4 linked regions of the Saccharomyces cerevisiae S288C genome follow. Changing the gene in region 3 together with the main gene of any one other region gives a genetic interaction. Each region holds a gene or a part of one and is shown on either strand. Other genes may lie near its edges. The genes, in order: BRE2, OCA2, GAB1 and ALG5.

Evidence for each region.
Region 1: mutations in GAB1 (region 3) and BRE2 together harm fitness more than expected from each alone (negative genetic interaction), as found in Saccharomyces cerevisiae (2 studies listed by BioGRID).
Region 2: mutations in GAB1 (region 3) and OCA2 together harm fitness more than expected from each alone (negative genetic interaction), as found in Saccharomyces cerevisiae (2 studies listed by BioGRID).
Region 4: mutations in GAB1 (region 3) and ALG5 together harm fitness more than expected from each alone (negative genetic interaction), as found in Saccharomyces cerevisiae (2 studies listed by BioGRID).

The regions. Positions count from the first base shown.
Region 1 is NC_001144.5:173,668-177,298, reverse strand, and holds BRE2 (Bre2p), read right to left. Parts: upstream 2,073-3,631; coding exon 555-2,072; downstream 1-554. Other genes in the region: PML1 (Pml1p), read left to right, coding at 1-497; PPR1 (Ppr1p), read left to right, coding at 2,317-3,631. UniProt on the Saccharomyces cerevisiae protein: Component of the Set1C/COMPASS complex that specifically mono-, di- and trimethylates histone H3 to form H3K4me1/2/3, which subsequently plays a role in telomere length maintenance and transcription elongation regulation.
Region 2 is NC_001146.8:515,581-518,364, reverse strand, and holds OCA2 (Oca2p), read right to left. Parts: upstream 1,117-2,784; coding exon 523-1,116; downstream 1-522. Other genes in the region: porin POR1, read left to right, coding at 1-371; YNL058C (uncharacterized protein), read left to right, coding at 1,652-2,602. UniProt on the Saccharomyces cerevisiae protein: Required for normal growth in the presence of linoleic acid hydroperoxide (LoaOOH).
Region 3 is NC_001144.5:1,055,452-1,059,093, reverse strand, and holds GAB1 (GPI-anchor transamidase subunit GAB1), read right to left. Parts: upstream 1,761-3,642; coding exon 576-1,760; downstream 1-575. Other genes in the region: NBP1 (Nbp1p), read left to right, coding at 2,323-3,282; YLR456W (pyridoxal 5'-phosphate synthase), read right to left, coding at 3,410-3,642. UniProt on the Saccharomyces cerevisiae protein: Component of the GPI transamidase complex. May be involved in the recognition of either the GPI attachment signal or the lipid portion of GPI.
Region 4 is NC_001148.4:119,646-122,767, forward strand, and holds ALG5 (dolichyl-phosphate beta-glucosyltransferase), read right to left. Parts: upstream 1,523-3,122; coding exon 518-1,522; downstream 1-517. Other genes in the region: CET1 (polynucleotide 5'-phosphatase), read left to right, coding at 1-386; NEW1 (New1p), read left to right, coding at 2,122-3,122. UniProt on the Saccharomyces cerevisiae protein: Endoplasmic reticulum membrane-bound UDP-glucose:dolichyl-phosphate glucosyltransferase involved in protein N-linked glycosylation.

The sequences.
Region 1 (3,631 bases), 880 kb from region 3:
TGGAGTCGAATAACAAAGAAGGTATAGCTTTAAAACATGTGGAGCCGCAGGACGCTATTTCTCCAGATAACTACATGGATATGCTAGGACTGGAGGCGCGAGATAGGACTATGTATGAACTAGTGATATACAGAAAGAATGACAAGGATAAAGGACCGTGGAAAAGATACGATTTGAACGGCAGGAGCTGTTATTTAGTCGGTCGTGAACTGGGCCACAGTCTGGATACAGATCTCGACGATAGAACGGAGATCGTTGTCGCAGACATTGGTATACCCGAAGAAACATCCTCAAAGCAGCACTGCGTCATCCAGTTCAGGAACGTTCGTGGCATTTTGAAATGTTATGTAATGGATTTGGATTCGTCCAATGGGACATGTTTGAACAACGTTGTAATTCCTGGAGCGAGATATATAGAGCTACGAAGTGGTGACGTCCTTACACTTTCAGAATTTGAAGAAGATAACGATTACGAACTCATCTTCATGAATGTATAACCATATATAAGAAACACACTTTCAGTGTGTTTTAATTATTCTTCTTTGAATGCTGCTTTATTGCTGTAGGGCAATTTGCTCCAACTCATCGATTATATCCCATACTATGTCTTCAGCTATCTGTTCTTTGTACAATGTATCCAGTGTGTTAACTTTTGAATTCCCGTCAACACAGTAAGCTGATCGGATTTGATCGAGGTACTCCAATTTATCTTCTTCACTAATTATCCTCGCTGTTCCACCGTTAAAACAGCTGATTGTTGGATAGTAACCCAGTTTGTTATTATTTACGTATTTGTTTCTGAGTATCAATCCCTTCTTTTTCTTTTGTTGCTGCTTTTTCTTTTTGGCACTGGTTGTGTTTTTATCATTGGACTCATCACGAGCTTCACCATGTTGCCAATATCCAAGATAGAACTTTTCATTGTATTGTAACTCACTGAACGGTGGTAACAACGGCTTTAAATTTTCAAATGCTTTGCCTAGGTACTTACCATTTTGAAAGATAGCAAGATATGAATCCTCTAACTGGTAATAGTCTTGCCTTTCCCTCTTATCAGAAGAATAATATTCCGGTTTCGTTGTCTTTACATAGTCCGTTGCCTCAAAGAACAACTGGTTCTTATACCTGATGGCGATTTGATCGCGGACGACGTCGTTATATTCAATATCTTCTAATAGCGCCCTTTGAAATTCTTTGTTCGTTGTCTCTTGTTTTAATTTTTTCCTTGAAGGCCCATTCTCAGCATCTTCTCTCCATGGTTCATTCATCGTATCCATATGGGAGTTCAGTGCAAAAATTCTTCTTTTGGTAAACTCCTTAGCTTGTTTGATTTGTGTATGAATGCTAGGAAGACTCAGTAGAAATCCGATTTTATCACCCTCTTTCAATGGCGAACCATTTTCTAGGACGCAATTCAATTTTCCTTCGTGGATAGATTCTAACGAAATGTCTCTAATACCATACCCGTACACATCAAACCCTACGGGAGCCTCTAAACTGGCCTCTCTTCTGCAAACTCCAAATCGTAGATGCGGGGTGTCATTCACTTGTTTGTGCATTTTTTCGTATATGCCACTTTGTACTTCGTCTACTGAATCATCAGCATTTTCCTTATTATTAACACCGTCTGCGAATTTCTTGTTTCCTCCACGAATTACCTCCACTTCCCAATACGTCATTCCTTCTTTAATACACACATCGCTTCTTGCAGTTCTCCAACCGTATTGATCCGGGACACTTACCAGATCATTTCCATCTCGACTAATTGACAACCCTTCAGATCTGTCCATGACGCTCATTCCAGAGTGGTCAAATGGGTATTCTGTACAGCCATACCCCAAAATAGTGAAAAAGGGATTTGCGGAACACGGTCTGTACACAAAATGTCTTCGATTCAATGGAATATCTTCTGTGCGGACAAACTCATAACTTGTACCCTGAACCGATGACTTGATTTGGTGCGTTGCTTCCATCTGTGGTAAATTAGGTCTCTTCCCTTCTTGCTGACCCTGGAGAGCATTCTTGTAAACAATATCAGTACCTTCCTGGTAAGGTATAATACCCAACTTCATTATTAAGGAAGTGAATTATTTGTCTTCGTCCAATTATGGCCACCTTTATCGCTGATATCCTTTGTCTACATCCTTTTTAAACTATAATCACAGATTCTCTATTTTTTTCTTTTACCGCGATGAGCTTCATAAAATACTCACAATACCAAATGTGAAAAATTTTAGTAACGTAAAGTGGTTTGCTTTATTCGCACAGGAGTAACCCTTTAGAGTACATAAAACATACGAAGATGATGATTAAATCATGAAGCAGAAAAAATTTAACTCCAAAAAAAGTAATAGAACAGATTTATCAAAAAGAGGAGATTCTCCTAATATAGGAATTTCCAAATCTAGAACTGCATGTAAACGATGTCGATTGAAAAAAATTAAATGTGATCAGGAGTTTCCTAGCTGTAAGAGGTGTGCAAAATTAGAGGTACCATGTGTTTCTTTGGACCCAGCCACCGGAAAGGACGTTCCAAGATCTTACGTCTTTTTTCTGGAAGATAGATTGGCTGTCATGATGCGTGTGTTGAAAGAATATGGAGTAGATCCCACGAAAATACGAGGAAATATACCTGCTACAAGTGATGATGAACCTTTTGATTTGAAAAAGTACAGTTCAGTTTCATCTTTGGGAGAAGAGGGAATATTGCCACATAATGGCTTATTGGCGGATTATTTGGTTCAGAAAGGGAATTCTATGGCATCCTCAGCTATAACGAGCAAGTCTATGGCAAGCCCACAGACTATAAATGTACAACGCAAGGAATTTCTGGTAAACTCAAAAAAACAAGATGGTAGCGCTTTATTACCCGAGACAGGCAGCCCTATGACTTCAGATGCAAGAGCGGAAGAGCTACGCCGATGTAATAAGGAGATCAGTGCGCTGGGCACGATGAGAGAAAGTAGTTTTAACTCTTTTTTAGGAGATTCATCGGGTATTTCCTTTGCGAAATTAGTCTTCACGGCAACTAATTTTCGTCAAGATTCCGGAGATGACGTTCTGGATGAAGATATTAAACAAAGGGAACAGAAATACAATGGATATGCAGAGGCTGAAAACAATCCACACTTTGATCCATTGGAACTACCACCTCGACATGCCGCTGAAGTTATGATATCCAGGTTTTTTGTAGATACTAATTCCCAGTTACCTTTGCTGCATAGAGAACTTTTCCTGAAAAAATACTTTGAACCTATTTATGGTCCCTGGAATCCCAATATTGCATTGGCATCTGATCAGACAGGCATAAATAGCGCGTTCGAAATTCCAATTACCAGTGCTTTTAGTGCGCATACTGAACCAAAAAGGGAGAACGTTACTGAGAAGATTGACGTATGCTCTTCCGTGGATGTTCCATGGTATGACACTTGGGAGACATCTCAAAAAGTCAACATGCGTCCGATAGTTGAACTACCGACAAAATTTCACATACCTTATTTTTTTTTAAACATTATATTTGCTATTGGCCATGCTACGCAGGTACTTAAGTCAGATATTACTACTGTCGCGACATATAAGAGACGCGCTACTAAATATATTGCATCTTTATTTTCATCTTCAGACAGGTTGG
Region 2 (2,784 bases), on a different chromosome or scaffold from region 3:
CCATTTCTCGTTATGCCATGGCTTTAAGTTATTTCGCCAAAGACTACTCCTTGGGCGCTACATTGAACAACGAGCAAATAACTACCGTTGACTTCTTCCAAAACGTCAACGCCTTTTTACAGGTCGGTGCTAAGGCTACAATGAACTGCAAACTACCTAACTCCAATGTCAACATCGAATTCGCCACTAGATATTTGCCTGATGCATCTTCCCAAGTTAAGGCTAAGGTGTCCGATTCCGGTATTGTCACTTTGGCTTACAAGCAATTGTTAAGACCTGGCGTCACTCTGGGTGTCGGTTCCTCTTTCGATGCTTTGAAGTTGTCTGAACCTGTTCACAAGCTAGGTTGGTCTTTGTCCTTCGACGCTTGAACGTATATATCTAATATATATATGTTCACTATATACCATATATGTGCTCGTTCTTGTTTCCATTTTTCTACTTGATCTTTAGACTTGTTGTTTTATTTATACAAATATATTAATGACAGAAAATATTCTTTGTAACGGCTGGTTCTCATAATCATATTGGTTGCTTGGCAGTGAGAATAGACTCACTTCCTGACTCATCATCACTTCCTTCCGCAGCCTCTAGCTCATTCAAATACAAGCAGTGTTTAGCAAAGCCAGGGATAACGTTTCTCGGTATTTTCAGATTGGTTTCGAACATTGTGATAAACTCCAAATCTACTCCATCTTTCATCCCACCAGAAAATAACCCGTACTCTTGGCATATACCTGCAGTGGACCATCCCTGTAACAACTTTCTTATGATTCCCACAACTACACCAACACGGTGCTTGCCCTTATTGGAATGCACTAAGATGGGATAGTTTCTGACATCCAGCACCAAGTGCAAGACCTGGTTCATTCTTTCTTGAATTCCTTCATCGCGGCTTGAATCCATAAATATGTGATAGTATTTTATCTTTTCTGACTCCAGGAAGCTTTGATATTCTTCGAGAGGCCTATCTTTATCGCCAATATATATTATGGTCTTCAAGTGTAACTGATGCTTGATGAAACTATAATTTAACGGCATCGGGTATCCCGATCGATATAACGATACATCCGTGCTCACCACTGGCGAAAAATTTAATGGGGGTATGTATTTCATAGCATCAAGAAACGTGCACTCTATTGGTATTTTGCCTTCACTTGTTGATATATCAACTAGACTTTAATATCTTAAGTAAACTCTCGCTTTTTTCTGATCTTTTTTTTAATTCTGGAAAATTCAGAAGAAAAAACAAAAATTACTGAAAAATCTGGGCTAGCACCAAGAGCTATTCATGGATGAATCACTAAATGAAAAAGGGTCTTTACTTTGCATGCTACCACTCACATGAATAGTATAGGGGAACCTGGTGACAGCCTCCCTTCTCACTTTCTGCCGATTTCCAATGATCACTCTGCAGAATTCTTTCATGAAACCCTTAATATGATTTCCTAAAGCGGGAAATAGTAAACATATCATAAAACATTTGTAAAAAAAAAAAATGTATAATTAGAAATTACTAGATTTTCAATTATATTTAGCAGCTATATGGGTTAATAATTTATAATGTTTATTAATAACATACCCACACTCTTGTATTATAATCAACTAGACTCATACCTTGTCAAAAGTTCAGAAAGAAACATCGGCAGAGATGGTTAAGAAAAACTTTATCCCGTCTGTATCGCTGGTCAGAAGAGACCTTCCTACTTTAGTTACTACTACAACTAGTTCAACCGCCCTGTCAAAGCCCACGTCAAGTGTAGTGTCCGAAACGAGTTCCAAGTCCCTTCCATCGTTAACATCTTCGGCTTTCTCAACTTCCAGTGGAGCAACATCCTCCTCATCACTAATTGTCGCAAGTATAACACCCCCATCTACAGCAGGAAACCCATTTATTTTAAATGCTGCTGATAAACCAAATGGAACTGTATACATTGCTGTGGGTGCTGTCATAGGTGCCATTTTTATCAGTATTCTTATATGGTGGTTAGTGTCCAGTTATTTGTCTCGTCGTTTCACAATGACAAATTCTTATGCAAATGATAGTAAAAATTTGTACAGGGGACACCACAAGCATAGTTCTTCTTTACAAAGCAATCCCTTTGACATCAATGATGAGAAATCATATATGCAGGATGATTGGGATTCTATGAGCCAATTAGAATCTAGCCAATACGAGGATGCTGCCTCACCATTCAACCCAATTCAGGATCCGTTCACAGACAACAGAAGATCCTTATTTATATCTCCTACTTTACAAGTGTCACAATATGAAAAAAGTCATAGCCGCCATCAATCAAAAGACACTAACATTTTTATTGACGATCCATTTTTATACGTAGGTACCTATCTAGAAGAAGAAGAAGAAGAAGAAGAAGAGAGAAAGCTGAACCTCAATAGACCACAAAGAGCAGCGTCACCTGAAAGAAAGGAAAAGAAAATTAACTCAATGGAAGGCTACCATAAGAGAAACCAATCCTCCTTGGGCCTCATACCAGTCGCTTCTGCTACCTCAAATACTAGCTCTCCTAAAAAGGCTCATAAAAGACAGGCGCCATCGATGTTTTTGGATGATGTCCTGAATGGTAGAGAAATAATCTAGATACCCTGACATCTAAGATACATGGTTGTTCAGGTTAAACATTTTTTTTTTTAGTCCTTAAAAATTGTGTAATTCAGTACCAAAAAAATCGATGTTTGCTTTTATTCTTTTCAAGGCCATACGGTTCTAACGCACCAGTAATCATCAGTACATCTGCCAAGATATATCTTTATCATATTCTT
Region 3 (3,642 bases):
ATGGGAACTCATCACTTCGTAACTGATTCCATCTTCTATCTACCATAACTTTAAAAAAGATTATCGATAGTCTAAAAATACGCGATACACATTCTTTCTTCGTCCGTTAATGATAAAGCTCTTTTTATGTTAATGTACATGGGTTGTCAAACTACCCTTCCCAAAAAGACAGCACAAAATATATATTTATGCCGTGCTATTCTATGATAATATATTGGCTTTCACCTAATGGAAGCCCTAGCGAAGATAACCTTTTTCATACGACTTTTGGTGGGAAAGAAATTGGCATAGTCCCAAGTACAATGTTGTTATTATGTAGGAGCTTAATCCGCAGATCATACACTCTATCTCAATTCTTCGTATTATAACGCTCATGATTAATTAGGTCCTTCTGAGTTCTATCTTTTCTCTCCGAGACAATATTATGCAAATTTTAACCAAGCAGTTTCTCTTAAAAAATAGATAGCCTCTGGAATAACCAATATGGCTCTCATATTCGCTTTATCCACTCTTACGATGAACATCTGTATGGTTCTTTTTATTCTAGTTTATGTACGTTTATAGACGGGAAGTAGTTAAATTTGTGTTACCTTCAATTTGAAATTTGGGATACCGTTATCGTATTCAATTCTCAGCATCGCCCAGTTCAAGTCAACTAATATAGATGCTATAGCCAGAGCATAAACTAGGGAAATAGCATAGAAAAAATTACTATTCCCTGAACCTAAAACAACCCAAAGATGATAGAAAATTGGCGCCAAAACAATTGCGTGTAAAAACAGTAATGCTGATATGATGGGGTATCTTAAATATCCAAATAGTGGCGTGAAGAAAGGTAGGAAGCTGAAGAAAAAACCAGCGTCACCTAGTGAGGGATATGGCTTTGTAAGGACAATCCACCCAATGCATAAAATGAATGCGTAGAATGGCTGCTTATGATAGCGCAAAGTAAATGGTGTAATGAATACTGCAATAAAAATGTTGAATACAGCCTTGAAGAACGGTATGAAGGTGTCAAACATTTCAATGAAGAAGTACCACCACAAACCCAGATTTGGAAAAACCTTCTCAAAGGTTATAATAGATCCATAAACCTGTGTCAAAAATGACCAACTTTGGCTGCCTAATATACTGTAGCTGAATAATAGCAGAATTAATAAAGATAGTATGGAAACAATGGCAGATAATATTCTTTGCCTCCAACTTTTCAGCATACCTAATAGCGGAATTAAGAGGAGAATAGGGTATACTGACAAATATCCAGATATAGAAATCATAACAGAGGACAAAAGAACGTTTCCTTCAGCTAATATGCAATACAATGACGATGAAATAGCAAAATTTGTGAATATGATTGATGACCGACTAATGCACGATAAAAGGGTCAAAGGATTCACGGCATAAAGAAGTCCAGGTAGCCAAACTTTCAGTTTCAAGTTTTTGAAAGCCTTTGTTACCTCTGTCAGCTGATACGCAATTAATCCATCAATTAAAGCGTATATGAGGGAAATTAACCTGTCGGAATTAAAGAGGGAAAGAAAAAAAATCAAAATTGGAGGATGGTGAACAACCCCATGATTATATACTTGGATGTTGTTCCGCAGTAGGTATATACCTTCCTGTAGTGACCTAAATGAAGTTACGGGAGTTGAGAATTCTACAGACTGGTCCAGTTGTTGTTGTAGAGAGGGAAAAAGGCTGTTCACAGCCAAACGAATTGCAATACAGCCTAGAGCTACCTTAAGTGCTGTGGAATCCATTGGTCTCCTTTTGGTGAGTTTTTCATATAAGATCACGTTGTTTATATGAATTACTGTTCTAAAACTGGTTAGTTTTGAAAACAAAGGTCATTTCACTTAATGGAATATTTGTTTTACCCGGAATACGTAACATATCGTTTGCCAATAGACGTCTTTAAGAAGGATGTTTTAGCTTCCTTTGAGAATTATGCTACCAATAATGCAGATAGATATGTTGGAAATAACTGTTTTGACAAGAGCTTGAGATTTACTTGTTTAATGTATACTCATATAGAAACATCGAAAACAAATGAGGAAAGAAATTGAGAGCTGAGATCAATGTTAATTTTCATTCATTTGATGTTATACCTTTACACTTTAAAAATAACTCATCCGAAACAGCCAATGGTCTATCCTTGACCTTCGCCAACGCCTCTTATACTTTCATTAGAGGCCACTCTAGCACAATTCGTGACGCGTCATAGTATAGAAACGATGCGCGCATCAACAATTATGAAATTATTGCTGAACATGAACAAGTAGATACTCTGAAGAGAAAGGTACAATAATAGACATTGGTAATATGCTAAAATCCGTACAGGGACTGTGGAAAGATTTTTTTGGAATACGAGATGATGGCAGGAAACGAGAATACGGGTCCCTTGATGAAGTGAGAAAACGATCTGCCTTAAGGAGCAGAAGAAAGCAGATGCGTCCTACGGGTAAAAGCGTTCTAAAAAGACCTAGAAAGGTGACAGATAGGAAAACTGAAGAAAAAATTCGTACTAACAGGAGGAAAACACCCAAACGAAGGTTAACAAAGATATTCCAGACAATCAGAGATGTTTTTTCCAATGATAATGAAAATATGAGCAAGATGCAAAATGTTTGTGGCGACATGACTAGAATTTTGAAGAAGAGATCCCAGGGAAGACCTTCTTATATGGACACAGATACAGCCAAATCTAGGATCCTAAGGAGTGATGCCTTTAAGAGAAAGATATCGGAGTTGAAATACAATAAGCAACGGATCAGTGAACTAAGAAGTGGTAGTTCTGACGGGTCGAGTGGAAAAGATAGAAATCAATCATTATACTTAGATAGAGAAATTCTTCTACAGCGGCAAATTAAGAAAAGAGATGAGAAAATAAAAGCCTTGGAAAGCAAGCTACAATCATTACAAGAAGCATTGAATTACTCAAATGAGAAGTACAGGATTTTGGAGGATTTACTAGATTCTTCAAACATTCATCCATCATACACCAAATCTAGGAGAACCATGTCTAATCTAGCTAGAGAAAACGATGAGATTAAGCCCTTGAAAATTGATCTTTCCCCGTCTCCAATAAGAAGAACGAATTCATTATTCACTTCCAGCCCCATGAAAACATATAATCGGGATGGAAATATACCAGAGATGCAGCCGTTACAGGAAAACATATCTCCCGCCTGTCCCACTCCACCCTATCGTTCAAGGGAAACTGAAAAAGAGGATGAAACACTTTCACCAATCTCAGTGGACTTTTCAAGTTATTTATCTTAATTTCTCCTGTGAAATTAAAAGTATTCTCCATATATGGAGCGCGAAGATCACGGCCTAATCCTCATGATTCATTTTATAGATGCTTTATATAATAATTAGAGTACACATAGTTTTCATCATATTTCCGTTAAACTGGTTGTACTGTTTGGCCGTATGTAGAAGTATTATTTTCCATGTCAGAGACTTTTATTTTTTGTATATTTACCTTTATTATGGCTGTATCTTCTCCTAGTATAAAAATATCTGCGTCTGGATTGACTGTTAATAACAACCGCCTATAATAAGTAGATTCTTCACTATTAGGGTTCACAATATCAGCAATACCATTGATAGTAGCGCTCACTTGATTCAATTCACTTT
Region 4 (3,122 bases), on a different chromosome or scaffold from region 3:
ATAGTTACGACGTTAAAATCTCCCTAAACTTGGAATTACCTGTACCTGACAACGATCCGCCAGAAAAATATAAATCTCAAAGCCCAATTAGTGAAAGGACGAAAGACCGTGTTAGTTACATTCATAATGATTCCTGTACCAGAATTGATATTACAAAAGTCGAAAATCATAACCAAAATTCAAAAAGTAGACAATCAGAGACCACTCACGAAGTGGAACTAGAAATCAACACGCCTGCACTGTTAAACGCCTTTGATAACATAACGAACGATAGTAAAGAATATGCATCTCTTATTAGAACGTTTCTGAATAATGGTACAATTATTAGAAGAAAGTTATCGTCTTTATCATATGAAATTTTTGAAGGTTCAAAGAAAGTCATGTAATATTTGAATCATTTCAAAAAAAAATAAGCAAATGCCCTTGAGCGAGAAATTTTTTTTGTTTACTCAAATGCTGTTATGAAAGCTTATGTAATAATAATAATAATGATAATAATAACATAAAAATAATTACTCTAACATTTCTTATTATCTCTATATATCCCTAATAAATAGGCCATTCTTATAATAACCAAGTCTTTCGCCATTTTGATACTATCAATAGCTAAAGCCATCTTAGAGCCATCAACCTCATGCCAGGAAATTGGTATCTCCTCAATTTGGATTCTTTTTCTGATGGCTAAGATCAAAATTTCAACGTCAAAGATCCAACCCTCTGTATGCAAATACGGAAAAATTTTCAATATAGCGGCTCTGTTGAACAATTTGAATCCACATTGTGTGTCTTTGATAGACCTGATGCCGAAGATGAAAACTAAGGTATGGAAACCGTACATCAAGCAGTTTCTTATCATTGATCTCTTTATGACGGCTTCGGTATTTACCATATGTGCTCTGGAACCAATTGCTACTGCTGGTTTAGTCGTTTTTAGATCTGTACTAGACGTTTCAATTTTGCTAATAGCATCTATTAGTTTTTCTACATCACTGAACTTACTAGCACCATCAGCATCGGCAAAAAGACCATACTTACCTCTAATATGTAAAAAACCTTGTCTCACTGCGCCACCTTTGCCTCTGTTTTGAGAAAACTTGATGATTCTGAATTGTTCGTAGTTCAATTTGAACTGTTCTTTACAAATTTTCAAACAGTATTGTGTGGTATTATCTGTGGAACCATCATCCACTATGACAATCTCCCATCTGGAACCATATTTTTCCTTTAAAAAGCTGATTGCGTCTGTCAACATTAGTAAAATTCTACCTGTCTCATTATAGCTTGGGATAACAACAGATAAAAATATTTCTTCGTCATCTTGGTGTTCATTCAAGTTAGGTAAGGCACGACTAACTTCATGACCTTTTTCATCAATAGCTATGTATTTGAGCTCCTCTGGATATGGCGGCCTTGGTGTATGCGAAAATAAATAGACCAATAAATACAGTGAAAGCACCAAGGCTACTAAGAGCGTAAAAAAGACAGTGTTTCTGTTCTCAATCAGGAATCTCAACGCTCTCATTTTTGTTGTGCTTTGTGTAATTTTTGGCTGCCTCTCTGTTTTTGTCCCTTTCTTACGTTATCAAAAGCACCTAATCTATCCTTACAGCATCCAATTAGATACCACTACCTTTCCACAGTGACTATGGTCCTTTGTGCCACTTTAATTGCGATAAAGCCTTGAAAATTGGCACGTTTTCTTCTTGTTTACACTTTTTTTCGAATACGCCAAATTTCGCTTTCTCATGAAAAAAATGGCATACACTGCTTCGAAAGATACAACAGAGCCATGTGCATTAATATATATAAATTAAAAGGTACTGAAGTGATAACGGTGAAAATAGGATAACTATGTACACTTGACTTTGGACTTGTTAGTTGTGACTAGTATAGAAGTTACAAGATCAAATGGAATAAACCCAAACACCACATCTAATTTTTCAATGGAAAAAGAAAAGTTTCAAGGTGGAAAAAAAATTTTCAGCAGCATCGCAATAAATGTTAAAAAATAATAATATATTGCAACCTATTTAAGATAATACATATGCGTCGATCTATAGTGCATAATTTATATCTTGTAAACTGTAAATACAACGACAATCAGTGCTAATTCAACTCAGGATGCCTCCAAAGAAGTTTAAGGATCTAAACTCTTTCCTTGACGACCAACCAAAGGACCCAAATCTAGTCGCTTCTCCCTTCGGTGGTTATTTTAAAAACCCTGCTGCTGATGCCGGTAGTAATAACGCTTCCAAAAAAAGTAGCTACCAACAACAGCGTAATTGGAAACAGGGGGGCAACTACCAACAAGGTGGTTACCAATCGTATAACAGTAATTACAACAATTACAACAACTACAACAACTACAACAATTATAACAACTACAATAACTATAATAAATACAATGGCCAGGGCTATCAAAAATCTACTTACAAACAATCGGCTGTGACGCCCAACCAAAGTGGAACTCCAACTCCATCTGCTTCTACTACATCTTTGACCTCTTTGAATGAAAAGCTGTCGAACTTAGAGTTAACACCCATCTCTCAATTTTTGTCAAAGATACCTGAATGTCAAAGTATCACTGATTGCAAAAATCAAATCAAACTAATCATTGAAGAATTTGGCAAAGAAGGTAACAGTACGGGTGAGAAAATTGAAGAGTGGAAAATCGTCGATGTTCTATCTAAATTCATCAAACCTAAGAATCCATCATTAGTTAGAGAATCTGCCATGCTAATAATTTCCAACATTGCTCAATTTTTCAGTGGAAAGCCACCACAGGAAGCATACTTGCTACCATTCTTCAATGTCGCACTTGACTGTATTTCAGATAAAGAGAATACAGTCAAACGTGCCGCGCAACATGCCATTGATTCTTTGTTGAATTGCTTTCCAATGGAGGCTTTAACCTGTTTTGTACTGCCTACGATTTTGGATTACTTATCATCTGGTGCCAAATGGCAAGCTAAAATGGCCGCTCTAAGCGTTGTAGATAGAATAAGAGAAGATTCGGCGAACGATTTATTGGAACTTACTTTCAAAGATGCAGTTCCAGTTTTAACCGATGTAGCAACTGATTTCAAACCTGAATTGGCCAAACAAGGTTACAAAACTTTATT